Linked DNA regions of Saccharomyces cerevisiae S288C. Changing the gene in region 1 together with any one later gene gives a genetic interaction. Each region holds a gene or a part of one and is shown in the gene's direction. Other genes may lie near its edges.

Region 1 (7,490 bases):
TTTGGTATTTCAATTCATTGACACCTTGGTTAGTTGGCTTACCGTAAGTAGCACCCTTTGGAACAGGTCTCTTTCTGTTACCGCGTCTAACCCTGACACGGTAGATAACGAAACCTTGCTTGGCTTTGTAGCCTAGTCTCCTAGCCTTGTCTGGTCTAGTTGGTCTAGCGGCTCTGTGAATGACATTTTTTTGTCTGTATTCCCAGACCCTGACTCTTTGCAAGAATCTCAAAACATCAGATTGCTTCTTTCTTTCTAATTCTTCTAAATATTTGTAGGCTCCCATTGCTTGTGTGGTAGGTAATTTGTGACTGTCTTTACGGTAGCTTTCGCCGATTACTATTGCCGCTAACTTCTCAAGAGTGAATGAAATTATCAATGGCTCCGGTTAATTGAAAACGTGGAAAAGTATCGAAAGGAACAAGAAAGATGTTTTCCGGGTAACGACATATGGAGCATCAAGACAGATACATCTCTACTGACTACATGTTTGTATCATCATTTGAAGAGATTGGAGAAGTATTCTAGCAATCGGTGCAAAAAATAAGAGTAAAGAAAAAAGACGTTTGTTTCCTTAAAGGAGCTGGAGGAGCCTGTTTTGGATAGCGGCGTAGTCGCTTTATTAATTTGGTTATACTTTAAACGCAAAGATGGCAGTACGAAACCAGCAATGCAGTGATTATATATTCCCTACTAAGGAAAGTTGCGCATCCAATGGGAAACATTTTCCTGATCTGTACCTTTGGCAACCTGAATATGCGGTTGGCTGGCAAATAAGGTAGCGTGGAGGCGGTGTTTTTGCCACAAACCAGTACGCCCAATCTATCCCTGCGAGCCACCGTAATGATGCAAATTGCAGTAAAGCAGCGCTTAGCCTCCAGCCGAAATTTACTTCCGTCGAATGCACGTTGGCCAGAATGTCTCTCGTCCCCCTTGTGCTGCGCAAATAACAACGCGTTGGTGCGTTCTGGAACGCGAAGATTGCGAAACACGCCTCCGAACTGACGTAGCATAGAGTCTTTCACAGTATTGCCTAATGCGGAAATCACATTGCCATATTGGTGAAAAATACAATGGCTAGTTTGATCTATTTTTGGGTTATGGTGTCTCGAGCGTAAAAAGTGAAAAAAAAGTATATAAACGATCTGAATTTAAGGCAGAATTCTGTTTGCCGCTCTCAGAATGTACTGTTAATTACTGAGGTCTCCATCAAACACAAACCCCAACCTAATCGCAAATAACCTGAATAAAAATGGCCAGCAGTACTTCCACTTCCGCTTCCGCTTCCTCCTCCATCAAAACTAACAGTGCCTTAGTTTCCAACAATGTCGTTGCCGCCTCTTCCGTCTCTGCTACTTCTACTGCTAGTTCCAGTGCCGCTAAGAACACTACTTCCAGTTCAAAGAACGCTGCTCCAGGCATGGTTGCAAACCCTGTTTCCTCGAAGTACGGTATCATCATGGCCGCATTTGCTGCTGTTTCTTTCGTCCTAGGCACCGGTATTTAAGAAGTTTCTAAAAGCCTTTTTTTTTCCTTCTGCTTATTGTACTATCAAAGGGAACGATTGATTAACAGAAAAATTACATAAAAATCATATCATAATGGACTCGCGGTTGACGCCTAGTTAAACCAATGAAGAGGTGGGCGAACTTGTGGGAGTTATATATATTTAGGCCAATTGGGCCATTGCATGTTTCCTATAATATATTTTAATATAAAAATTTATTTATTAATACAGCAACTCATTAGATTAATCGAGTGGTGGTAAGGCTTTTTTTGCTCGCAATGCGAGCACGTGACAGAAAGTGAGAATGAACGTCTGACATTGCTAGTGTCACGTTCAGAAAACGAGAAGACGGGTAAAACAAAAATATTGATGATTGTTGGTTAGCAATATCAAATTCATTGAAGGAGGTCACAACCGCGAGAGAAAGTAAGATGTCATGTTTTTGAATATGAACCTGGAGCTCGCATATAACTCTTTCCAGTGGCACCTTTAGATTTATTTTAACTCTGAAATGTAGGTTTTTTTTTTTTTAGACAAGTCACGATAAGTAGTTGTTGTTAGCGACTTTATTCACAGCATTTTTTTATGTAGCATTTGTAGAAATAGGGGAATTATATCGGAGTACTCAAGAAACTAACGGGCTTCTGAGTAAAGGGGCTTCCCGATGTAATGGCATCCAAGGTACTTATCTAACTGATTTTTGATTGGAAGAAACATTTAGAATGCAACCTCAATTGTGGGCAATTACGACCAATGACAGCCAAATCCAGTAAGGTTTCAAAGGGATAATTTACTGAGAAAACAGATTTACTATTCTGGAGGCAGGAGTGATATATTCTTATTCTTCCTATCCATGGGAATAACGATGCACTTTTTTATGGGTAAGGTGTGCTCCCAGTTTTTCTTACCAAGAAGTGTGCAATTGGTACGGTAATATCGTATTTGTTTGCACTGATGTACCCACGCTTTAGCCATTTAAGTTATTACGAATCTACTCTGTCTATTTTTTTTTTACCAACTCCCTACCCAGAGGGAAAATGCGTATGCAATCTAAAATACTTTATTTCCCATTCCGTGCCTTAGGCAAACACAAATGGATTTTGGCTGCATACCGAGGGGTCTAGGTGGTGATGAGGTCGCTACAACCCAGGATGGTTATCTCGTTTCTTCGAATTTCCGCAGCAAAGAGGACCCTTATTGCAGGGATGGAACCTTTTCTGCACAAAGCAAAATCCTCAGGATGTTTCTCTCCTCTGTCTTTCTTTGCCGAGCTCCATCGTGCTAGCGCATCGGACAGGAAGCAGTGAAATACAAGAAAAGTATACAAGCAGTATTCCTGCTCAAGAACCCAGTTTTCAGTTATAGTTTCCACTCCTTTCAATAGATGGGAAACTATATATCCATTAACTAAAATGGCCAGTCAGACTATCTCTTCTCCTCACTAGTGCCTAATCTCTGGTGTCGCCACTCCTGCTGCTGCTAATTATAAGGGCAAAGTCAGACCATCACTTACATTGAGGTGAATATTAAAACCAGTGAAGGTTCTGTTTTTCTCGGGAGTATTTCCGGCAGTAACACCGTTACTTATACCAAAGAGAATTTTTCTGTTGGTATGATTACTGACCCTGTCTGCTCGAAGCACGGTATCATCATTTACCGTTGTTTCTTTCGTCCTAGATATCGGTGTCTCAGAAACTCCAATTGAAGATGTACAGGTGATTAATTACGTCTTTTTATCAATCTATTTACCTATATATTTCAATTTTGATTTTTATTTGGCGAGTGACATGTGAAAACTTTGCCTATGAACCTGAATAGCGCATTCATATTTTAAGAACATGGTAGGGTATAGCAGATGTTCTTTAATTTTCTTTGACTGCGTTTACCCGGCGTTTTTTGCTTGACTGAAAATCAAATGAAGAAAAATAGAGATGGTCTTTTCTTTTTGTCATATCCAAGAACACGTCCATCTAATTGATTAGTGCCAAAAATCGCAGGGATATAACTTCGAAAATTTCTCAAAATGGCCAATTTTTTTGTTAGACTGTGGGAAAGTGTATTTGAACCAGGGACCTCCCCCCAGCTGATCATCGCCACACACGTATCTTTTGTTGCACTACTACTGACCCTCATCTGGCTCATCTATGCCACAAACGGGAATATCCACTTCTATGCTCTTTTCTGTATATCACTTTTACTATGGATTACCGTTATCTGGTTTATAAACGAATTATCACACGTCAAATTGAAGGATAATGATGAGCTGGATAAAGATGCCAATAAAAAGGACGACAGTGCCATCAAGGAAGACAGCGAAGACAAGCAAGAAAGCGGGAAATCCACTAGTACTGCCAGACGGACTCAAGCACAATCTAGGTCAAGAAAAGCATAGACAGATACATAATTGACTACATAATTATCTCTGTTATTAGTATATCACAGAGCTTCCGGGTAAATGTCCGCAATTGTAAATTTTTTTGTCCGCTTCAGGGTCTCCCCTGATATTTTTTTTTTTTCAAAAATTCCTTTTTTTTAAATCAAATTTTGGGCTCAATTATGGACAAATGAAGCACATGCAAAGAGTTAACGCGTGCGACTGAATAGAACAACTCTTTCAGCATCGCAAACCCTTCAAATTGTGAATAAATAGGCATTTCAAGTAACTGTGTCAGCAGCACATTGCATAGGAATTCTGATTTTTTGTTTTAGTGACTGCCCTCCTAATTTTTTTTTTTTTAGTTTACGGCTATAGCTAAATTTGGAGCTTTCTTTCATTAATTTTCACCGAGCTATTAATAACCCTACAAAAAGAGCAGAGAGGTACAGCCTGATCCGATAAAGCAGTGGGATAAAAAGTACTCAAAGACTATTTATAAAAAGTTCAAAATGGATGCAGGTTTATCGACCATGGCAACAAGAAACGGTCAGTCTTCTGCTAGAGTTAAATTGAGAAATAACCTCTTGAATAATGATATAGGAAATATTGACATTAGGGATGAAACACCTATTTCAAGGAACGGGAATGACAGCAATATTAACATCCAGCCTTCTTCCGTGCCGCAGCAGCAGCAGCAGCAGCAGCAATACTACCGTAATGGCATGAATGAGGCTCCAATACAAGCGCCACTTCAACAACGTCAAATTCCCATGCAGAATTATTCACAACAGCAACGCCAGCAACAACAGTATAATTTTGAGTATTCCAATCCACATATGAATGAGATTCCCCTCATGCAGCATAACTTCACCAAACCATCACTAAGCAATAATCGCGATAATGTTAATGGTAAGAAAGCTTCCTCATTTACCCAGAGCTCATTTTCCAATTTTTTCAAACATAAGCATCAATTTGGGAAGTCAAAGAAAAACACTAAGGGGACAGGAGGTGGTGGAGATGGTGATGATGACGATGAGGTTATCTTGGATGATTCTGCAAACTCCGACCTAACATTCAATGACATTCAGACCTTCGGTCACAAGGGCGGTGACAAATATGGATATGGTGGTGATTCCACTCCTATCATTCCAACATTGGTGACTAAAGACCGCGGCAATATGAGTAATACTGAGTATAGGAAGTACATTACTAATCAAAGGAAAACCGCAATGAATGCCATGGCTAAACAAACTAAAAATGGTACATTAGCCTCGTTGCCTCCGAGAGCAATGTCTTTGCAAAGTTTCCCGAATGGTAATCCTTTAATGCAAGCACCCACTCCTCATCCTAGATTTCAACCGAATAAAATGGTGAGCGCTAATTATTCGAGATCAAATTCGTTGATGAGTGGACCTCCCGGACAATTTCGACAGCCGCAGCAACAAAGAATGCTACCGATGAACAACTACAACAATCACCCAGGTCAATTCCAGAATACCCCACCAGTAATGCCCTCTGGACAACAGCCACCTCAGCAACCACGTACTCTGTCATTAACTAATGGCCCAAGATATTCACCCCAAAATCCTCGGCCATTCGCAGGTCATCAGCAGATATCACAAAGACAACAACAACAACAACAACAACTTCAACTTCATCCAATGTCTGAAGGCTATCGGACAATGTCTCTACAAAGTCAGAACGTTCCCCAAGGGTTTAATCCATGGTCACCAAATGACAACGATCGTAAAGCTGTGTCCATGAAACAGCCAATCAGTCAATCGTCAATTTCCTCAAAGAATAATTCAGCTTATTCAATACCGAACGTACAAAACAACTCCCTGACTACATTCTCTCCGTCATCTCCTACTGATGCTACAGCAATGCCTAACTCTACAAAACAAGGATCTTCACCACTAAAAAAACAAGTGAACATTGATCAACCTATTGAAAACAAGGGAAAACTGAATGTTTTGCAATTATCCACTCCTCAACAAAACGAGTTAAAGGAAAAAGAAAGGAAGCTAGCTGAAATGGAAAAATCTTTACGTGAGAGAGAAGCACTAGTAGAAGAAAAAGAAAAGGAAAGAGCTGAGAAAAATACTGAAGCAAATGAAGAGGAGGAAATTTCACATGAATCAGACGATTTAAATTTAAGACCTGCGAGTGCGCTAGAGACTGGTTTAAAAGATCTTAAATTGGAAAGTGAAAGTGCAGTCGCCAATAGAGCGTCCTTGTCGACTTTCTCATCCACATTTAGTGATTCTCCCTCCAAGCAAAGAATCATCAATACCAGAACAGGTATGTATAAGCTAGAAAACTCTACTGATATCAATGAATACGTGACCGCACAAGAATTCCCCTCTCCCGGAAAGTATAACTCAAATTCGGATAATGGCGAAATGAATACAACGAACGAGGTCGATTTTGATTTCAATACTAGTAAAAGGGCTTCTTTGTTACAATCCATACCGGAAAGAGATCCCAAAAGAAATGTCTCAGATGCTACCATTAAGCGACGTGAATCCGATGGCAATGGCAGGAGACTAAGTAATGTCAACATATCCATGAACCAGGAAAACATCAACAATGATACTTTTCTATATAAAAAAAATAATCGCGATGGTCATTTATCAGCAGTTTCTCATATGTCCAGCTCTTCCCGTAGATCGTTCATCTCCAATACGCTGCCGTTGAATATTGATTCCGCCTCAGAATCTGATAATTTTGTACCGCATATGGATGGTTCACCCTCCAAAACAAAATCAGCCCCAGTTAGCTACGATAAGGATGGCATGAATGCTTCAGAAGAAGACTTCAGTTTTGATAATACTTTAGCCAAACCGTATGAACCGTTATATGCTAGGAGAGGAGACATAACTTCCGCCGGATCAACTAGTGGAGAAGATAGCTCTCAGCCAAAGATGATAACAATATCTGGTGAGCAATTGAATTTGATAACAGAAAACAAAGAATTAATGAATGAGTTGACACTGGTGTCTACAGAATTAGCAGAATCGATAAAAAGGGAAACTGAATTAGAAGAAAGAATACGGCTGTATGAAACCAATAATTCAGCACCATCTTTTGACGATTCTTCGAGTGTGTCTTTTTCTGACTTTGAAAAGGAACTGAGAAAAAAATCCAGTAAAATTGTGCAATTGATCCAGCAATTAAATGACGAGAGATTAAAGAGATTCATTGCGGAGGAGCAGTTATTACTCCAAGAAAATGGCACCAAACCAAGTTCTATGGAACTAGTAGGAAGAATTGAAAACTTGAATAAACTTATTGATGAGAGAGATTCAGAAATTGAAATGCTTAAAGGACGTTTACAGTAGATGAATGATGTATTTTATTGTATATATCGCTTAGTGCACCAAAATCATACTACGTAAGTATAAAATCACTTTACACGTAGAAGATGCTTTTTCAGATTGTTCTTGAAAAAGTTGAAAAAAATATAATTCACACTCAGCAACAGGTGAAAGTGTATAATGGGTAAAAAAGGAAGGACAGAAGGTATATTGCTAATCAAAACGACTTTGGTATACGCGTTTGGGGCTACAATTGCATTTTAAATATATTTAAGATGTTTAATAGAAA
Region 2 (4,975 bases), on another chromosome or scaffold:
GAACAATTAGTTTAGATCCGAGATTCCGCGCTTCCACCACTTAGTATGATTCATATTTTATATAATATATAAGATAAGTAACTGAAGAGTGGGTGAATTTTGATGATAATATATTAGTAACGTAAATACTAGTTAGTAGATGATAGTTGATTTTTATTCCAACAATTATCAATCCTTGTATTTCAGCTTCCATTGAAAACGATGACTATTTCTCATCATTTGCCGTCATCTTCTAACACCGTATATGATTATATACTAGTAACGTAAACACTAGTTAGTAGATGATAGTTGATTTTTATTCCAACAGTTACGTAAACCGTTATCAAATAGATACGCTCAAATTCAATTCTGATTAATTTTCATTGGGGCTGATCGTTTCGCTGCAAGTTGTCATAGTATTATTTATTTATTAATACCTTAGATTTTCTTGACAATTAACCAATTTTTAATCATTAAACTTAATAATATTTAATGCTACTGTACTTTCTATTATTATTTATTATTAATTTATTTATTCGTTCATCTTGTATGTAATCGTCCTCCGTTCTTTTCCCTTTACCGCTGGCTTGCGCGCGATGATTTCCACTAAAAGCTTGCTTGGAAATCTCGATCACCGACATACGCCCTGAGAATGCTTATAGGAGCTATCGAGGCGAAAGAAGTGGGGGGAAAGTAATATCCCGAGAACGAAAACGCAAGGCTTATTGTCATGAAAATGCAAATGCACCGTTGACAAAACCAACCACACGATTATCACGACTACTACCATAATAGGTAGGCAATGAACACTTCGTTCAGCAAATGGGTCCAACACGAATCGACTTTTCGAGGCTTCTTCGGCCGTTTTCGGGCCAGTTAGTGCTGATTATATATCATACTCTAGTTTATGTTCGCTTTACGTATGGCAGTGTCTCTAAGCTATTCCGTCTTTTTAAGAAGCGCATCGATATTGGGATGCCGCCTTCGCCAGTAATTTTCCTGAGCTTGTCGTTCGATCTCCGCTGCCTTGAGCAAAAAGTTTCGATAATTCAGTCTGGAACTAGGAGAAGCTGACTCGATGGCATCTTCAGGCTTAGCGGTGACCGGAGAATTGCCAATTGACGTGGCTGTTTGCTTCTTGGGGGTTACTCCCTCAACAAGGCGTAGAAAATAACGGTAGCAATCCTCATCGCTGTAAAAGTAATACGGAGTATGCCATTGCCCATGATTAAACAAATATTGGTTCATGTTGTATGTGATGATCCTCCATTCTTTCCCTTCTACTGCCGGTTTACGTGTGATGACATCCACTAAAAGCTCGGTCCTAAAATTTCGACGACTGACTAGCTTTGGATTACCATCACCTAATATTATTAACAATACTACAAGAGAAAGATAAGCGTAGTATGCAGAATTGAAAACACAAGCTTCGTTGTCATTAAAAAATATAATTAATAAAACCAAAACCCCTATTACCAGGGACAAAATCATGACTGGTGTATAGCGAGCGATTTCATAGATCCAATAACTCAAGTACGAACGGAATATGTCCTTAGGAAGAGCCACATTTTTCTCAATTAAATGTGCACTAGGTTCGTTGAGTGTATCTAACTTGACGTCGGTACTTTCTAGAGGGGTCTGCATGACCAATATATACCTTGTATCGTCTATGACTATAGTATTCCTGATTGTCTCTGTGCCATTGCATACTGATCAAATGTTTTAATAACGCAGGACCCTTTTCACGATTGTTTTTCATCTCTAGAGGCATTTTCAATATTGCATTTTGCGAAGTGATGTATAATGAAAATGTGGTAATAAGGCAGTGAGCTACTTTGTCACAACAAAGTACGAGAACAGATGAGGTTCCGTGGTGTTTTTGGGGCAACTGCATTATTTGGAGCGCCGTATATATTTATATCCTATTACAAAAAATCATAAATGACACTAAATTTGACACCTACTAGTGTCGTCAATCGAGAAGTAGATCCTTTGTCAAGTTGTGTGCTAGTGTCTCCCGTCTTCTGTCTAAAAAAACTCATCGACACCAGGATACTCTTGTCGCCAATATTCCTTTTGAAATTGTTGTTCGATTTCGGCTGCCTTGGTGAGGAGCTTTATAAAGTTCGGTCCGGCACTAAAACTAGAAGACTCAGCGGCTTCGTTTGGTGTGCCAGCGGTTTCGTCATTTGATTGTGCGTCTTTAACATTGCTGGCTGACGATTCCTTTTGCTTCTTGAAAGTTCTTCCCTTAATAAGACTTAGAAAATAACGGTGGCAATCTTCATCACGGTAAAAGTAGTAGGGAGTGTTCCATAAATCGTTATCAAATAAATACTGGTTCATCTTGTATGTAATTGTCCTCCATTCTTTCCCCTTTACCGTAGGTTTCCGTGTGATAATTTCCATCAGTAGCTTACATTTGAAATCTTCATCACTGATCTGTGGTCCAAACCTGAGTATTAGAACTATCACTAAAATGCCAGAGAATATGAGGAGAAACCCTACAGAAACCCCAACGCAATTTTCGTTATCATGAAAAAGAATAATTATTGAGATTAAAACCCCAATTACTAGAGACAAAAGCATGACCGGTGTACAGTGAGCTGCTTCATATATCCAATAACTCAAGTACGAATGGAATATGTCCTTAGGAAGAGCCACATTTTCCTCGATTAAATATGCACCGGGTTCGTCGAGAGAATCCGACTTGGCGTTGGTATTTTCTGAAGGGGTTTGCATGTTGAATTGATATCTTGTCTTGTGTAAGGTTATTATATGGTTTTGGAGGTTGTTATGCTGATTCGAATTACGACTTGATCTTGATACTAATTGAGCTTTGACGAAATATTTTAGCAATTCAGAACCCCTTTCATATTCTTTTTCTTCTTTTCATTTTTAGAGGCGTTATTTCACTAATAGGTACAGCCTCCGAAATAATACGTAATTGAAGATATGATAATAACAGTACGAGCCTTTTACAGGGCCATTATGATCATGAGTGAGATCCAGAAAAGCACATTGCATGGCAGTCGGATGTTGAGAATTGGGGGAATTTTGAGATAATTGTTGGGATTCCATTGTTGATAAAGGCTATAATATTAGGTATACCTAATATACTAGAAGTTCTCCTCGAGGATATAGGAATCCTCAAAATGGAATCTATATTTCTACATACTAATATCACGATTATTCCTCATTCCGTTTTATATGTTTCATTATCCTATTACATTATCAATCCTTGCACTTCAGCTTCCTCTAACATCGATGACAGCTTCTCATAACTTATGTCATCATCTTAACACCGTATATGATAATATATTGATAATATAACTATTAGTTGATAGACGATAGTGGATTTTTATTCCAACAATCTCAACATTCACCCATTTCTCACATTTATCTCAAAATCCACCCATTTCTCAATAATATATATGGTAAGTAACCAGTTGTCAAAACAGTTTATCAGATTAATTCACGGAATGTTACTTATCTTATATATTATATAAAATATGAATCATACTAAGTGGTGGAAGCGCGGAATCTCGGATCTAAACTAATTGTTCAGGCATTTATACTTTTGGGTAGTTCAGCTAGGGAAGGCCGGGTTTTATCTCATGTTGTTCGTTTTGATATAAGGTTGTTTCATATGTGTTGTATGAACGTTTAGGATGACGTATTGTCATACTGACATATCTCATTTTGAGATACAACATTTTCAGTTAATTTGTTTCCGATATAGTGTAACGGCTATCACATCACGCTTTCACCGTGGAGACCGGGGTTCGACTCCCCGTATCGGAGTATTTTTTTGAAAGTTTTTTTTCACGTTAGTTCCGTGAAGAAAATTTTTTTTCTTCATTTCGGAGAAAAAACAAGGAAGGAGAAAGATTTAAGAGTGATAGCTAGATCATGTATTCCTTAATACGAAGGAGAGACCTGGATTTTTCTCATATTATTATGTCTCACTGCCTACTTAACAAAGACATTTACCTTTGAACTGCAATTAAAGTAAAGTAAAAAAATTAAGAATAAAAAGAAAAATGGGTGCTTGGTTATTTATCCTTGCTGTTGTTGTCAACTGTATCAATTTGTTTGGCCAAGTGCATTTCACAATACTATACGCTGATTTAGAAGCTGACTATATCAATCCAATTGAATTATGTTCTAAAGTTAACAAGTTAATTACCCCTGAAGCCGCCTTGCATGGTGCTTTGTCATTACTATTCTTACTGAACGGTTACTGGTTTGTATTTTTATTGAACTTACCAGTTCTAGCTTACAATCTAAACAAGATCTACAATAAAGTTCAACTTTTGGATGCTACCGAAATATTCAGAACTTTAGGCAAACATAAAAGGGAGAGTTTCCTAAAGTTAGGTTTCCACTTATTGATGTTCTTCTTCTACTTGTACAGAATGATCATGGCTTTGATTGCTGAAAGTGGTGATGACTTCTAATCCAACAAGACATTGAAATCCAAAGAAGACTGAAGGGCCAAGAATAATAGACATACTTAATGGCCGCCCATAGATTGGAGGAAAACTGAAGATAAAAAAGATAAATACACAGAATGTATTAATTCGTGCTTCCCTTTTTTCCTTTTTTGCTTTTTTTCTCAATTGTCGGTGGGAGTTATCAATTTTTTTCGTTATTACCAGCATCTATTAAAGTAAAATACCGGTGAATATCGGTAAATAATAGGTTACTGTATAAATGTACATATAAATATTTGTATAGTTAGTATGCCATACAAAATAAAAAAAAAAAAAAAAAAAAACTAAAAGGTTGAGAACTTAAGGGTGAGCATGACTGTGAAATTTTGAAGAGATGCAGTAAGCCATCCCATATCTATTGCTCCAGGGCCCAGAAAAAAAAAATAAAAAATAGAACTTAAGTTGAAACTTAGTGCAAAAGATATATAATGAAAAAAGATAACCAAATCTGAATCTAAATGAAAATGAAAATTTCTATACATAAATAACGAAGAATAAAA
Region 3 (8,067 bases), on another chromosome or scaffold:
GTGGTACGGTATTCTTATCTTCAAGGTACCACAGTATAATTCTGCCTTTATCATTTTTTATTTGTATTATGTATTTTCGTGCTTATCTTGTAATTTTTAAGTTTTGGATTTCGGTGCTTCGTGTAGTTCTTCCCCTATATCTCAATCTAAAGTAAATTATTACAAAATATGGTGGTGATCTTTTAATCTCAAAGCTTCTTTTACTCCGGGCATTATAAAAACAGAATCTCTTAGCAGTTACTCTTTTCCCTTTTCTCTTGTGCCGTCATATTAGAGTAATTATAATTTCTTCTTTTTCGGCTTCCCCTTGTTTCTACAAAATCTCGATTTTATTATCTAACACTATCATAACTACTACTATTACTATTACTATTATTATTATTATTATAAATCTTAAAACTATTATTTGCTAAAACAAAATGGATGCTTTTGAGAATATGTCTGTATCAAATCATCCGGGCGGTAACGCAAGAAGAAACTCCCAATCAGCAAACGAAATGCTTGCATCGCAAATTCAGGATTTCCAGAATATTCCAAGGTCTTTCAATGACAGCAATGCAAATGTAAATTTGTCAAAAAATTGTACTGTCGGCAATCAACTGCCTTTCTCATCACGTCAACAAAAAATTATCATGGAACATTTACTGATAACGAAGAACAATTCTCAACAGCAGAAGGACTATTCACACGTGCCATGCAAATTTTTTAAGATGGGCAATTGCCAAGCTGGCTCGTCTTGTCCCTTTTCCCATTCCCCAGATATTATCAGTTCTGCGAATAATTTACCTTGCAAGTATTTCGCAAAGGGTAACTGTAAATTCGGTAACAAGTGTGTTAATGCTCATGTGCTGCCAAATGGGTTCAAGATGAACAGTAAAGAACCTATTGACATCACTCCCCCTTCACAAAACAACTACTTATCCCATGCTAGATCAGCTTCTTTCTCTACCTACACGTCTCCTCCTCTGTCTGCACAAACGGAATTCTCTCACTCTGCTTCGAATGCAAACTACTTTTCCTCGCAATACCTAATGTATTCGCCTCAGAAAAGTCCAGAGGCCCTATATACTGAATTCTTTTCTCCCCCTTCGTCTTCTTCTTCGTACATCAACTATAGCTATAATAACTCCAACATTAATGCCTATTCTCCAGTCTCTTCGTCTTCATCTAACATTTGGCAAGAGCAAGGCCAAACTACGTTATCGAATCCGAGTGTGAATCAGAATTTAAGGTATCGTACAGGCCCTGCAATTCAAGAAGAATCAGATAATGAAATTGAAGATTTACTTATTCACAATTTCAATTCCAGATACTGTCATGAATGAAGAGCCGCCCCATCCATAGTTTTTCCTAGTTCAAGCATTAATATACCGGACCACTCTACATCTTCCGAAAGCCGGAAAATAAGAACAAAAAATAATAAAAAAAAGCACGTTTAATATAAAAAACATTTCATTGTATGAGTTGGATTCTTTTAATTTTATTTTAAAATACGGTTGCATTTTGCATAGTAATATCCAACCAATTATTTACTGAAATTTGAAATTTGATTAAAAAAGTCAAACCAAAAAAACTACGACAATACATGAAGCTCTGAATCTTCTAGCCTAGTCATTTTATATATATATATTCACCTCCTCTCGATACGTTCCATCATAAGTTAGTTTTGTTTTTCTCTTTCTCGCGATCCTAATTAAAAATTAAATAAAATAAATAAATACATATGTATATATATTCATATGTAGAAGATTATTGTTCTTATACATCAGTGTTTTGATTTATGGTAACCTATCCCAACCTTCTGGCTTATCTTTCTTCATAATGTCGAAGTAATGTCCGCCACATGAACCACTTCTAAACGTGAAATCGTTACCCTGGTCACAGTTACAATTATATTGGTTCCATATATCATCGTTTAGGGGACAGTTATTGTACTTGTCATAATGGAATCCTATATTTTCGAAAAAATGTATTTTATCCTTTGGCAACAGCATCGATAACCCAATTGTGTGGATGATGGAATCAGACCATTTCCAGTAGAAAATACCGCCCTCTTCGTCGATGTAATTAAAAAATTTCCTGTAAGCTGGCGATCTATAAAAGTTCAAATTACCAATTTCAAAATTTGATGTGAATTCACAGTTGTTAAAATCTTCAGAGTCCTTTTTTGTAATAAATGACTTGAAATTATTCTCGGAAATAAACTTTGGAAAATCCTTTGCAAATTTTTTCGTAACATCCCAAATCTTCTCATTGGCTTCCTTAGCTTCACTCATACTCAATGTGAAACCAAACACTTTGCCTTCATCTTGCATCCACCTAAAAAGGTCATGATCAATATCACAGTACAATTTAATACCAGGGTCTACTCTCCAGTACCAATCAAACTCATCCAGAACTGGATGCCTCCAAAAAAACCCTGCAAAATATCTAGCTTGATATCTTACAGCTCTAGAATCACCATCCGGTACATTTGCTAATGAAATTAGCGATTCTGCTGCTTTATTTTCATCAATCCATTCAGGGTATACCCATTCGTCTGCAGGAATTTCAGCAAATTTAATATTAATTAACTCAGGATCACCATTCATAGAATCAGTTATGGCTTGACGAATCATTTCTTGCTTCATTCCGTCAAGCTCCCCCTGACTAATAAAAACCCAAGGATAAGCAAAATTTTTGTTAAACTTCACCTGCACTTCATCAATAGATTGTAAGATTTGGGTCATGGAATCCCTTTCAGTAATTAGTGAGACAAAGCACGCCTTTGGTGGTGATCCTCTATGATTGATATACGATGGCACCATGAACCCTAGCGTCGTTTCATTACCACCATAAGATTTGATCTTTTCCTTAATGGCATTCACGGTGGCATTTCTAATGGCCTCTCCCTCTAAAGATTGCTTCAATTCGGCTTCTTCCTGTTCACTTTGTATACGCCTTTGTTCCTCTGCACTAATTTTTGCAATAGGTTGCAAAGATTTCGGAAGGTATGGTGTAACATACTGTTCAGACATCTGCTTTGTTTTTGGATGATTTATTGTCACCATTAGCGCAAGCACGAAAACAAACGAAATCAACAGAAAGCGTGCTATTTTTTTGCTCAGCAGTACGTGCATCTTACCTTATCTTATCTTCACTAAAGGGCACAAAAGGTTGGGTGAACGCTTAGTATCCCTCTAGTCTTGTATACTCGTACACATTATAAGTACATTTAACAAATCTCATCCACATTTCTCGAATAAATATCACATGTAACTTGAAGGTTATTTTTATATTTTTTTTTCCTGTGAAGGAACAACTCGTGTCTCACGAGAGCGCCACTTAAAAAACGAAAAGATAATCGGCGATGACTATATATGTATGTGATTGAGAATAAAAATATGGAAAGATAAAAGACCTAGTAACGTTGTATTTCAATAGTGAGGATAACATAAAGAAGTAAAAAGATCTTTGAAAATGTATGAAGTAATACAGAAAAGGAAAACAAAAATAATAAACGTTTTACAGAGTCCTGAACTCATGAGGCTCATAGAGGACCCATCAAATCTGGGTATTTCTTTACATTTTCCAGTAAGTTCACTGCTAAAAAGTAATAAGTGCACACCAATGCCTAAACTTTCTACGTATAGTTTGGCTAGTGGGGGATTTAAGGATTGGTGCGCGTGACATCCCTCTAGACGTTCCACCAGAGATTGATATCATCGATTTTTACTGGGATGTTATTTTATGCATGGAATCTCAATTCATATTAGATTACAATGTTCCGTCAAAAAATAAGGGGAACAATCAGAAGTCTGTTGCTAAGCTGTTGAAAAATAAGCTTGTAAACGATATGAAAACTACGTTAAAAAGACTAATTTATAATGAAAATACCAAGCAATATAAAAATAATAATAGCCACGATGGTTACAATTGGAGAAAACTAGGCTCGCAGTATTTCATACTGTATCTTCCCCTATTTACGCAGGAACTGATTTGGTGTAAACTTAATGAAAACTATTTCCATGTTGTATTACCATCTTTACTGAATAGTAGGAACGTTCATGATAACCACAGTACCTATATAAATAAAGATTGGTTACTTGCCCTTTTAGAGCTAACTTCCAACCTGAACCAAAACTTCAAATTCGAATACATGAAATTGAGATTGTATATTTTAAGAGATGATTTAATTAATAATGGTTTGGATCTTTTGAAAAATCTTAACTGGGTCGGTGGGAAACTGATTAAAAATGAAGATAGAGAAGTCTTGTTGAACTCGACCGATTTAGCTACGGATTCTATTTCTCATTTATTAGGTGATGAAAACTTTGTTATTTTAGAGTTTGAATGCTAAGCAGTTATATTCAGTTAGAAGCATATATCCCACCATTAAATAAGTTAACATACTACTGCATTTTTATTTTATGTTTAAGAGCAGATACGTCAATGTAGCTTGCATATGTACGTATCCTCCCCCACCTCCTATTTTCTACTTTGAACTTTATGGGAGTGTTAGTATAAGAAATATGTTTACACCTTTTTCAGACAAATGTAAACGGAAAATTAAAAAACGAATTCAGATCGATGTGTTAATCAAGTAGATGAAGGAGAATAAAGCATATAAAGCGCACCGCACACATGTTTCATTTAGTCAAGGGACTTTACAATAATTGGAATAAAAAGGAACAATATTCAATTCTAATATTAGGTCTAGACAATGCAGGCAAAACGACGTTCTTGGAGACATTGAAAAAGGAATACTCTCTGGCGTTCAAAGCCTTGGAAAAGATACAGCCTACGGTAGGACAAAATGTGGCGACAATACCCGTTGACAGTAAACAGATCTTGAAGTTTTGGGATGTAGGTGGTCAAGAATCACTGAGATCAATGTGGTCCGAATACTATTCCCTATGTCATGGTATAATTTTCATTGTGGATAGTTCAGATAGAGAACGATTAGACGAATGTTCCACGACCCTACAGTCAGTTGTAATGGATGAAGAAATTGAAGGTGTACCCATCTTGATGCTGGCCAATAAACAAGATAGACAAGATAGAATGGAAGTACAAGATATAAAAGAAGTATTTAATAAGATTGCGGAACATATAAGCGCTAGAGATAGTAGGGTTTTACCAATAAGCGCATTGACTGGAGAAGGTGTTAAAGACGCTATAGAATGGATGATTGTTAGACTAGAAAGGAATAAAAAGTCAAGACCACCGATTTATAAATGATAAAGAAGCACCAAAAGAAATAAAATGTGAATGGTTTATTCTCAAGCTCAGAAATTAGTTGTTGTAGCACTTTTTATTCGGCATTTTTTAATATACATGTGTAAATTATATATATATATATATGAATATATATCTTGTTTTGTTTATTTTCAACTAATAATCGCAACAATATTATCTTTCAATAACGCTATAGCTTCTGTATGCTTTTTGCTCAGTTGCTCAATGGTTCTCTTCCTCTATGTGATAAACCAAATAGTTTGGTAAGCCAAATACATCGTAGTTTAATCTCTTCGCCATCTTAGCAAAACCTTCTGTTTCAATCAAGTGATAAAATGGGAAATTAGGGAACATGGCACCGTCTCTGTGAACTTCTGCTTTGACCAAAGTACAGCCTCCACCAACACCATCCAGCGCCATCTCTTCACCTGGTACGCCATTAGCATCGTAGAAATGAGCCATTAATGGCCTATAAGTGGCAATTTCTGCATAACCCTCGACAATAATCTCGTCATCACCCATCTGAGAGGCTATTTCTAAACCGGTGTCACTTTCTTGCCAGTTGTTGAAATCGTATGGTCTGATTGATGGTTGCTTCTTCTCTTCATCGTAAAATCTTTGATAAATGTTTGCAGCTAAGATAGCTTTGTTGTGTTTGGTCATGTCTTGAATTAAAGATGGTGGTGTCTCTATAATATCGGCATCTAGCCACAGCACCCAAGAAGTGTGAGGTCCTATGGTGGAGAATAGTAATTCATTGCGCGCCAAAGCCATTGCTGCACGTCTTTCCTTTTGAACATCTAAAGCGTGTCTTTCCTTCTCCATCAACTTATCAAAACTCTGGGAATTCTGTCGCAAAATAGTAATTTTACTAAATCTTTGAGTTTTCTTGTCCGTTTGAACCTTTTTAATAGCATTCTCCAATTTCTTTAAGGCCAAGTCACCAGTGGCTGTTCTTGGTGTAATGAACCCCAATTCAATCAATTCCCGAGGGTAATTTAGCTGCAGCAAATTGTCCCAGTATTGTTGATGAAATGTTTGCATTGGAGTCAATATCAAAATATGCTCCTTATTGACAGCTGCTTCTGACGTAGAGTGCAATTTGTTCAAATCATAATGTGCAATATGACCTTCTGGGATAATATCTTCCACGTGATCGTTGAACAACCAGCCGCTTTTTTTCTTATAAGAGTACTTTGGCATTTTGTATTTCTTGGTGAAGGGAAAATAAAATGTGTTTTCCTTTTCGTGTGCCCATTTGTGTTGGGAAATGGACTGGCCATTAAGTCCCAACAGAGATTGATCTCTCTGGAAAAAAATTATATATATTAGAAATATGGCCAAAACAGGTAGAAAAATGTTAACCCACGGGTTCTTTCTTAGGCGGTACGATACAAGAGAAAGTGACATTGTTTCCTAACTTTTTATTCTAGCTCTTTTAAATTCTTCTGTTTGAAAAATACTAAAATTGATGCTATTCTCTTCTTACTTTCACAAAGTGCGGAAGGAAAAATAGGTTCAGAAATAACGGGTCCCAAGAGCGGCTAACAGAAAATAATAAAAGCTTTTCTACCAATTGAGAATCCGCTTGGTTGACGACTTTTCCTCCTTTATTATTCTTGATTTGGTGTTCTGTTTTACTTATATCAAAATACTTCAACGCCAAATCCGCTACAACGATGGAAAGGAAAAAAAAAAAAAAAAAAAAAAGACAAACCAATGCTGTCGTGTCTAGTGACGATAAAGGCTGTAACTATTAATAAGGTGAATACTCACCCTCATCTTTTAGTTTATCAAACTTATATAAAAATTGTGTATGTACTGAATTGTCCTTGGTGTGCGAGTGAGAGTGTGTGTGTGAGTGCGTGTGTGAGTAGGTGAGTGTATGCGAGTGTATGTAAGTTTATAAGTGCCTGTGTGGCTACTATTTTCCGGTTCTGTGATGTGATGATGATTTTTTTGTCAGCTCCTTTGATTCATTCCATACTTTATTACATATGCTCATAAACATTTTCTTGTCTACATTGCTAGAGCTCAGGGGGAACTCGAAGGCAAAAATATGCGATGAGAGTCGGATTTCGCCTTGAAGAAGACTAGGTGATTGCTGCTGCGGCTGCGAGGTCCGCTGGAACGTAGTAAAAGTGGGAGTGGGGACCGCTCCGTCCTCGATGGCCAAGTCCGTACCCTCTTCTTCGTCTTTATTGGGTTCTGCCTCATGCCATGAACTCCTGTCCCGGTTTGTGCTTGTGCTTGTACTTGTGCTTGTGCTTGCGCTTCTGGCTTTCGTGTTGGCCGAGAGTAATGCATCCCGTTCAAAGTGGTATTCTTCAGCAGGTATCATATCTGCTGGGCGTAGATCCGCGCGCTGTTGCGTAGGACCGGCATTCGCACTTGATCCTACGCTAGAATTTCTTGAGCCTTCCTCGGATCGTCTGGTTTTCCCAGTGGAAGCGGTGCCACTCAAAGGCGAATCATATGAGTCGTTAACCCTCTTGTTTCTGTAATTGCTAGCACTATACTCATTTTCTTCGTAGGGCCTAGCGTTGCCACCTTGCATAGCATAAGGAATGGAGGTCCGCGGTCCCATTGGATATGGATACGACACGTAGGGTGTCATTATGGGCTTGTTCAGCATGTGAGGTGGAGGGATACCGTACGGATTATAATATGGTGACATTATGTAGCGATTCATGGGCATGTAAGGGTTCATGGCGCTCATGATGCCCGCCGAGGGCATGTGTGGTTTCCCATAACTATTGCTGCTATTATTCACTTGTATAGATTGTCTAGAACTGGCCTTTCCCAAGTATTGGACACGGGGCTGGAACTTGGAATGCTGAGTAACTTGTG
Region 4 (8,634 bases), on another chromosome or scaffold:
TAAATGACAATTCAATGAAGGTATTGCCAATCGCATCGGCTGATCCGTTATGGACTCATTCAAACGTACCAGGATCAGCATCTGTAGCCATTGAAGAAACCACCGCTACTCTACAAGAAAGCCTACCATCTAAGGGCAGGGAGTCTAATAATAAGGCTAGTTCGTTCAGAAGACAAACTTTTCATGCTTTATCACCAACTGACCTTATCAATGCGGCCAACAATGTAACCTTGTCAAAGGACTTCCAATCTGACATGCAGAATTTTTCTAAGGCTAAGAAACCGTCTGTAGGAGCTAACAATACTGCAAAAACCAGAACTCAATCCATATCTTTTGATAATACTCCCTCCTCAACGTCATTTATACCCCCAACCAATAGTGTTTCTGAGAAATTATCCGATTTCAAAATAGAAACCTCGAAGGAGGATTTGATTAATAAAACTGCACCAGCTAAAAAAGAGAGTCCTACAACTTATGGTGCAGCATATCCATATGGGGGACCTTTACTTCAACCAAATCCTATTATGCCAGGCCACCCACATAATATATCCTCCCCTATCTATGGTATTAGATCACCTTTTCCTAATTCTTATGAAATGGGCGCGCAATTTCAACCTTTCTCTCCGATTTTAAATCCTACGAGTCATTCACTAAATGCAAATTCTCCAATTCCTCTAACCCAATCGCCAATTCATCTTGCACCAGTTTTAAACCCTAGTTCAAATTCTGTTGCCTTTTCAGATATGAAGAATGATGGTGGTAAGCCCACCACCGATAACGACAAGGCGGGTCCAAATGTTAGGATGGATTTAATAAATCCTAATCTTGGGCCATCAATGCAACCTTTCCACATATTACCTCCCCAGCAAAACACCCCCCCTCCTCCCTGGCTTTATAGCACTCCACCTCCCTTCAACGCAATGGTTCCGCCTCATTTGTTGGCTCAAAATCATATGCCGTTAATGAATAGCGCCAATAATAAACATCATGGTCGTAATAACAATAGCATGTCAAGTCATAATGACAATGACAACATTGGTAATTCTAATTACAACAATAAAGACACAGGTCGTTCTAACGTTGGTAAAATGAAAAATATGAAAAACAGTTATCATGGCTACTATAATAACAATAATAATAATAATAATAATAACAATAATAATAATAACAGTAATGCTACCAACAGCAACAGCGCGGAAAAACAACGTAAAATTGAGGAGTCGTCGAGATTTGCGGACGCAGTTTTAGACCAATATATCGGAAGTATTCACTCATTGTGTAAAGACCAACATGGTTGTCGTTTTCTGCAAAAGCAGTTGGATATTCTCGGCAGTAAGGCGGCGGACGCAATTTTTGAAGAAACTAAGGATTATACGGTTGAATTGATGACTGATTCATTCGGTAATTATTTGATCCAGAAGCTATTGGAAGAGGTTACCACAGAACAAAGAATCGTACTCACAAAAATATCTTCCCCTCATTTTGTCGAAATTTCCTTAAACCCTCATGGTACTAGGGCATTACAAAAACTCATTGAATGCATCAAAACAGATGAAGAAGCACAGATTGTTGTTGATTCTTTACGCCCTTATACTGTCCAGTTGAGTAAGGATTTAAATGGTAATCATGTTATTCAAAAATGTTTGCAAAGGTTGAAGCCTGAAAACTTCCAGTTTATCTTTGACGCAATCTCTGATAGCTGTATTGATATTGCTACTCATAGACACGGGTGTTGCGTTTTGCAACGTTGTCTAGATCATGGGACTACAGAACAATGTGACAATCTGTGTGATAAGTTGCTAGCCCTTGTTGATAAATTAACTTTGGATCCATTTGGCAACTATGTGGTGCAATATATAATTACCAAAGAGGCTGAGAAGAACAAATATGATTATACGCATAAAATTGTCCACCTGTTGAAACCAAGAGCCATCGAACTTTCTATCCATAAATTTGGATCAAATGTGATTGAAAAAATCTTGAAGACAGCTATTGTTTCGGAGCCAATGATTCTGGAAATTTTAAATAATGGTGGCGAGACGGGTATTCAATCATTGTTGAATGATAGCTACGGAAATTACGTTTTACAGACAGCATTAGACATTTCTCATAAGCAAAATGACTATCTCTATAAAAGACTATCAGAGATTGTGGCGCCTTTACTGGTGGGCCCCATAAGAAATACACCTCATGGTAAAAGAATCATCGGAATGTTACATTTAGATTCATAGTTGATACATATATCCTCAGTTTAGCTTTTTTTACGTTAGCCTCATATAATATCTTTTGTACAATACTAAAATACATCATTTTTTTTTTCGTTGAGGATCAAATGAATATCCAAAGCAAAAAAAATAGGAATTTTCACTTTATGGTATACTGGTAAATAGTGTTGAAGAAATAAGAGAAGGAGATGCCCTAGAAAACAGAATGTTCTTATTTAAATAAGTAAACTCAAAAGAAAAAAAAAAGGAAGGAAGTTTTTGAGAACTTTTATCTATACAAACGTATACGTTTAACTATCTGGATAAACGTCGCTCCACAGGATACTGTAGAGGTCCTCAAGATCACCGTTATTAACAAATTCATCTAGTGTCCCCAAATTAAAACTAGTTGCAGAAAAATTGTTACTGTTGTTGTTGTTAATATTGTTAATATTGTTTTTATTGTTGTTGTTGTTGTTGTTGTTGTTATTGATTTCATTTGTGTTCATAAATGGTACTTGTACTGAAGTGGGTATTTGCTGCTGAGCATTGATTGGTTTATTAGATTGGACTTGCGTATTATTTTGCCCATTTGTTGGTTGCGCGTAATCGGGATTGATCATATCAGACACGGATAATGACCTAAATGAAGGCAATTGTGCAAACTCCGGTAGTGAGTTGTTTCTCACTGGGGAAGGTGCTGAGCGACCATTGAATGGCAATTGAGGCGATTCAATGCCATTTAGTAAGCATGAAGTGCCCGTCTTAAGACTTGGGAGATCCGGATTCAAATTTTTTCCCGAATTATGCTTCATCTGCTTATTATCTTCATTTGACATTAGTGGTTCCTGAAACTTTCTATTTTTCAACATTTGTGAGACCGTTAAATGGAATCCTGACTTCTGAACAGGTTCTAATAAAAATCGATAAGCGCAAGAGTTTGTATCCAAGACAAGTTCTATTATACCTTTTAAATCTGGCGCATTCTCATCAATATATTTGGAGATAACATCGAGGTTGGTGCTAGAGGACTCTCCGTATGCCAAAAGCATGATACGAGTGACGATTGTCAGGAAAGAAAAAGCTCTTGTATAGTCTTTAAAGCTTTGGCTGTTGAAGACATGCTCATTGGTCTCATTTTCGGAAAAAATTTTTATATCCAAAAATCTTTTGAAGACTCTAATCATATTCACAACGTCATTTACTTTAATGAATTCGGCCACTGAGAATGCTTGTGATACCAAAATAATGCAACTGATAGAATAATGGGCGAACGAACGGTATACGGAATAATCGTTGTCAAAGTCTAATAAGATTTTGTTCATATCGGTCCATGATTTGTAAATCTTGTGAAGGTATATTTTCAAGTTTTCAATTAGTATTGAGGGCCTTCTGTGCACGCATAATCTGGCGACAATATTATCAGATTCGTTAACCATTCTGCAGAAATGGTGCTCGTAAAATAGAACAAATTTTGAAGCCATAATCTTATCCTCTCTTGAAACTTTGAGTTCAGTACTATCTTTAGAGAATGCAATATCGAACAATTTTCCAGTTTGCTCTTTGATAGCATCATATTTCATTTCTGTTTCGTTAAAAATCTCGAGTACCTCGAAGAGTAGTTTCTCTCTAACAACAGATGGTTTTGATGTATTCCTAATTGACGTGAATTTTTCATTGAATAAAACAGATGATGAGAAATGGCTGACTATTTGTAAGACAGCTAATTCGCCATAGTATTTTAAGTCGGATATGCACATGTTGTCAAAAGCTTCGCTCCTGCGAACTAAGTGGACGTTCTCGATAAAATCTCTATTATCCAAGAACCCAACATCTCGAAAATTCTTAGGTAATAAACAATTGATTTTGGAGTCATCAATGTTCGAAGGATAGCCAAGTTTAGAGGCTAAAGTTTTCTCGAAATAGAAAGCTTTCCACCAGAGATTTCTTCTTCTTTCAGCAAAGTTTTCATCAAGACCCACGTAAAATTCCCACCTTGATAAACCAACTCTTGAAACAAAATGAACTGCTACGTTCAAGACTTTTTCAAAACCGTATATTTCCGATAGCCAAAATAGCAGATCCAAAAAGTATAGAAGTTGCTCTAAATGCGTTATGTCGCATGTGAAGTCCACGTAGTTGTATAATGTAGAATTATAATAGCTGTAACATAAGGCGATTAGCGCCTCTCCAGCTTGACAATAATGGATGAATTCCTGCAAGACATCAATTGACTGCGTGTTTTTAGCCACGGAGGGGTTAGATGTGATTTCCATTAGGAAGTTCTGGTAGGAATTTTTATGCATATCCAACATCTTCAATAAAATGCCAAACATGCTGATATCATTATTCATTTCGCTTAGTAGCTCAGAATTACTTATTCCGGTTATATTTCTCACAAAGGGCTGCGGTAAGTGATTTATCACTAACGCAACATGCGATTTTGTGTGTGCTGTATTCGGGCTCCCTGCAGATGATATCGAAGATGGGGTTGAAGGTAAAAGATTCATTTTCTGTAGGTAGTTTTCCAGGGGATTAGCTATGGAGACACAGCCTTGGTTGATGTGATGAAAACAAACGTCGAAAAACCTTAACATGATGTATATGGTTTCCTTGGCGGTCCTGGGAAAAATCTCGCATTTGGATTTGGATCTATAATTTTGGAAACATTTACCAATACCTTGAAGTGACAAAAATTGGAAAGGAGAGTACAAACCAAAGATTTCGTCGATCAAAGGTTGACTAGAAGTATCTTGGTCCTTCTTATTGTTTGACCAAGCGGCATATCTTGTCAAATGTACCACATCACAGTATTTGTTTTTCATCAATTGAGTTTCTATTGATTTATTAGGGTAAAATTTCGTTGTTGCTAATTCTTTGGTCCTCACTTTGGGTTCCCATCGCTTAAGCAAGTCACTTATCTGAAGTTCAATGCTCTCGATGGCTGAGGTTACATGTGTACCTAAATGAGCCATCTCCTTCAAATTTTTCAGAGTGGTTTGTAGAGATGTCAAAGTTGCCTGTGATTCGCTATCGTCTTCATAAAAACCGTTTCTATTCACATCGTCGTCATTCTTCCCATCACTTCCGCTATTATCACCACTACTACGACCACCTAGCTTGAAATTCTCAAAAAATTTCGTTGGTTGTTCCACTGCGCATGGCCCGTCTGTACATCGCTGAGGATTAGAAAAAGAAGTCGAACTGGAATCTGTTTCCTCTTTGACTTGTACGGTTGTACCTTCCAAACTCGTCTTGTGAAGGTTTTTTATTCGAGCGCCACCTTGTCTAGTGCTGAACGTGCACTCACATGAATATATCTCACAGCTTGCGCAGGGAAACTTCCCATTACATTTTATCTTTCTTTTTCTACAGTTATCGCACGCTTTACTTACTTTCGACCTTGGCTTACGAATCTTGCCGCTGAAACCTGTAGAAAAGTTGCTGGAGTCCGCGGACGATTCTGTATCCGGACCCGTCTCAATATGTACACCGTTCTTAGGTGTCAAGCCTCGCATCTTCCAGTTTCTTGGATTCTTTTCTGTATATTCTTGGCTGAGATGAATAGTTAGCAAGTGATGTGCAAATTGTCTTTTTTTAGCCAAAACTCACTCCTGGTAATGTCTATATGGCCGCTATGGTCCTGCTATCATGCTATTGTTGACAATGAAAGAGTGGCTGATCATGTGTAATAGGCGAATAAGGTTGTTTTGAAGAGCTTTAATTAGCGCCTCTTATTGCCACTCATTAGGTCTTGAACAAGAAAAGAAACTCCATTTAGGGTATGCGTCTGTTTCCAACAAAGCCCTATTGGACCCTGAGAATGTAAATCAGGGCTCGTTTCTTCTCGTTTAATAACTAAACGAGACTCATTTCTTTTTCGTTCCTTGGCGCTATTTTCGTGCATCCCGTAATTGCCGGTATTACGCGATCGTTTGGCGTTACTATGGAAAAGCAGAATTATATATCCTCGAGGAAAAATTACCAAACAGTGGTAATAACGTAGGAATGTAGTTCAGTTATGTAGATAGGCAGATACGGATATTTACGTAGTGTACATAGATTAGCATCGCTATGGCAAAGGATAATAGTGAGAAGCTGCAGGTGCAGGGAGAGGAGAAAAAGTCCAAGCAACCGGTTAATTTCCTGCCTCAGGGTAAATGGCTGAAGCCAAATGAAATCGAATATGAGTTTGGTGGGACTACTGGTGTTATTGGTATGCTGATCGGGTTTCCACTGCTAATGTACTATATGTGGATTTGTGCGGAATTTTATCACGGTAAGGTTGCCCTACCCAAGGCTGGTGAATCGTGGATGCACTTTATCAAGCACCTATACCAGTTAGTCTTGGAGAACGGTATCCCAGAAAAGTATGACTGGACTATTTTCTTAACATTTTGGGTGTTTCAGATCATTTTCTACTATACGTTGCCCGGGATTTGGACAAAAGGTCAACCATTGTCTCATTTGAAGGGAAAACAATTGCCTTACTTTTGTAATGCCATGTGGACCTTGTATGTAACTACCACTTTGGTCTTGGTTTTGCACTTTACCAATCTTTTTAGATTGTATGTCATTATTGACCGTTTTGGGAGGATCATGACATGTGCCATTATTTCAGGGTTTGCCTTCTCCATCATATTGTACTTATGGACTTTATTTATCTCACATGACTATCATAGAATGACAGGAAACCATCTATATGATTTCTTCATGGGAGCTCCACTAAACCCTAGGTGGGGGATTTTGGACTTGAAGATGTTTTTCGAGGTTAGATTACCTTGGTTCACCCTTTACTTTATCACTTTGGGTGCCTGTTTGAAGCAGTGGGAGACTTACGGCTATGTGACACCACAATTGGGGGTTGTCATGTTAGCTCATTGGTTGTACGCGAACGCATGTGCTAAAGGTGAAGAATTGATTGTTCCAACCTGGGACATGGCTTACGAAAAGTTTGGATTTATGCTGATCTTCTGGAATATTGCCGGTGTCCCATACACTTACTGTCATTGTACGTTGTATTTGTACTACCATGACCCATCTGAATATCACTGGTCTACACTGTACAATGTTTCGCTGTACGTTGTTCTATTATGCGCCTACTACTTCTTTGACACGGCAAATGCTCAGAAAAATGCCTTCAGAAAGCAAATGTCTGGTGACAAGACAGGTAGGAAGACTTTCCCATTTTTGCCATACCAAATTTTGAAGAATCCAAAGTATATGGTTACCTCCAATGGATCGTACCTATTGATTGATGGTTGGTACACTTTGGCTAGAAAAATTCACTACACTGCCGATTGGACTCAATCTCTCGTTTGGGCCTTGTCTTGCGGGTTCAACTCGGTGTTCCCATGGTTTTTCCCAGTATTCTTCCTTGTTGTCCTGATTCACAGAGCCTTCAGAGACCAAGCAAAATGTAAGAGAAAGTACGGAAAAGATTGGGATGAGTATTGTAAACATTGCCCTTACGTCTTTATTCCTTATGTTTTCTAGTTATTTTCTTTTTCTATCCACTTCATTAACTTATTTTACAGTTTGTATATAAAAGTATTGATGTATTTACGCGACAAAAGGGCTTGAAAAGATTCGATTTTCTATTACTTGATCTACTTTTTCCTATAAAATAAATCCTAAATGAAACGTGTCCATACATATATTGAGTGTTGACGCGTGTGATTTCACATTATGTTGTGGCAGGAAGTATGTTAATCTTGTTCAGCAATTGCTACTAGCCTTTCTTCGATGTTCTCAGCACTCAAGGTAAAGAATTTGTCCTTTGTAGCGACACCGACTTCCAAGTCATTCTTTGAAAATTCGGTACCCAGTGCGTCAATCATATGAGTAATAGCAAATTCTACCACCTTCTCCCATGATTCTTCATTAATATGGTCGATTTTACTCTTTTTGAAATGGTTTTCTAAGTTTGTTGTGATCTCCTGTTGTTTTGGTCCTGTCGCAGTAGCTTTGTAGCCAACGTAATAACCTGCAGGGTCAGTTTTGTAAATGGAGGGACCCAATTCTTCATCTACCGAAACAAATGTGAGTATAACACCTAATGGTCTCATATATGCTCTTTGAGTATAGATTTGGGAAAGGTTAGCCATTCTCTTAGCCAATACATCGCATGGCATATCATAACCATATTTATAACGGAATTCTGCAGCCTCAGCCTTGGCTCTTAGGGCCGCATTTCTTGCATCCGGTATTGGTCCGTTCACTACCATACCAATTGTTCTTGAAATACAAAAAATATACGAAACAGTAGTTGGATCCAACAGTTTATCAGGGACCTTTTTCTGACTTATCACCACTGTACAATCTTTACCTCTGACCGCTAGTGAGTTTATGTTAGTTTGATTAGTCGCTTTAAAGGCATATTCTACTTGATATAAACGACCCTCGGGGGAAAAGATAGTGATGTGCCTGT

Evidence for each region.
Region 2: mutations in PKR1 (region 1) and ERV14 together harm fitness more than expected from each alone (negative genetic interaction), as found in Saccharomyces cerevisiae (4 studies listed by BioGRID).
Region 3: mutations in PKR1 (region 1) and ARL3 together harm fitness more than expected from each alone (negative genetic interaction), as found in Saccharomyces cerevisiae (4 studies listed by BioGRID).
Region 4: mutations in PKR1 (region 1) and ERG4 together harm fitness more than expected from each alone (negative genetic interaction), as found in Saccharomyces cerevisiae (3 studies listed by BioGRID).

Annotation. Positions count from the first base shown.
Region 1 is NC_001145.3:510,063-517,552, forward strand, and holds PKR1 (Pkr1p), read left to right. Parts: upstream 1-3,530; coding exon 3,531-3,899; downstream 3,900-7,490. Other genes in the region: 60S ribosomal protein eL15 RPL15B, read right to left, coding at 1-286; YMR122C (uncharacterized protein), read right to left, coding at 639-1,013; NCW1 (Ncw1p), read left to right, coding at 1,253-1,507; EPO1 (Epo1p), read left to right, coding at 4,394-7,225; STO1 (Sto1p), read left to right, coding at 7,477-7,490. UniProt on the Saccharomyces cerevisiae protein: Functions together with the other V-type ATPase assembly factors in the endoplasmic reticulum to efficiently assemble the V-type ATPase membrane sector V(0).
Region 2 is NC_001139.9:400,335-405,309, reverse strand, and holds ERV14 (cornichon family protein), read left to right. Parts: upstream 1-4,022; coding exon 4,023-4,439; downstream 4,440-4,975. Other genes in the region: DUP240 family protein MST27, read right to left, coding at 919-1,623; pheromone-regulated DUP240 family protein PRM8, read right to left, coding at 2,008-2,721. UniProt on the Saccharomyces cerevisiae protein: Could regulate export of the bud site and axial growth sites selection protein AXL2 and possibly other secretory proteins from the endoplasmic reticulum in COPII-coated vesicles. Seems to be required for axial budding pattern in haploid cells.
Region 3 is NC_001148.4:455,340-463,406, forward strand, and holds ARL3 (Arf family GTPase ARL3), read left to right. Parts: upstream 1-4,623; coding exon 4,624-5,220; downstream 5,221-8,067. Other genes in the region: LEE1 (Lee1p), read left to right, coding at 420-1,325; KTR6 (putative mannosyltransferase), read right to left, coding at 1,779-3,119; mannosyltransferase complex subunit MNN9, read right to left, coding at 5,440-6,627; DIG1 (Dig1p), read right to left, coding at 7,142-8,067. UniProt on the Saccharomyces cerevisiae protein: Involved in the targeting of ARL1 to the Golgi. Can bind and hydrolyze GTP.
Region 4 is NC_001139.9:466,577-475,210, forward strand, and holds ERG4 (delta(24(24(1)))-sterol reductase), read left to right. Parts: upstream 1-6,278; coding exon 6,279-7,700; downstream 7,701-8,634. Other genes in the region: PUF4 (Puf4p), read left to right, coding at 1-2,231; drug-responsive transcription factor PDR1, read right to left, coding at 2,516-5,722; SCL1 (proteasome core particle subunit alpha 1), read right to left, coding at 7,913-8,634. UniProt on the Saccharomyces cerevisiae protein: C-24(28) sterol reductase; part of the third module of ergosterol biosynthesis pathway that includes the late steps of the pathway. ERG4 Catalyzes the last step of ergosterol biosynthesis by converting ergosta-5,7,22,24(28)-tetraen-3beta-ol into ergosterol.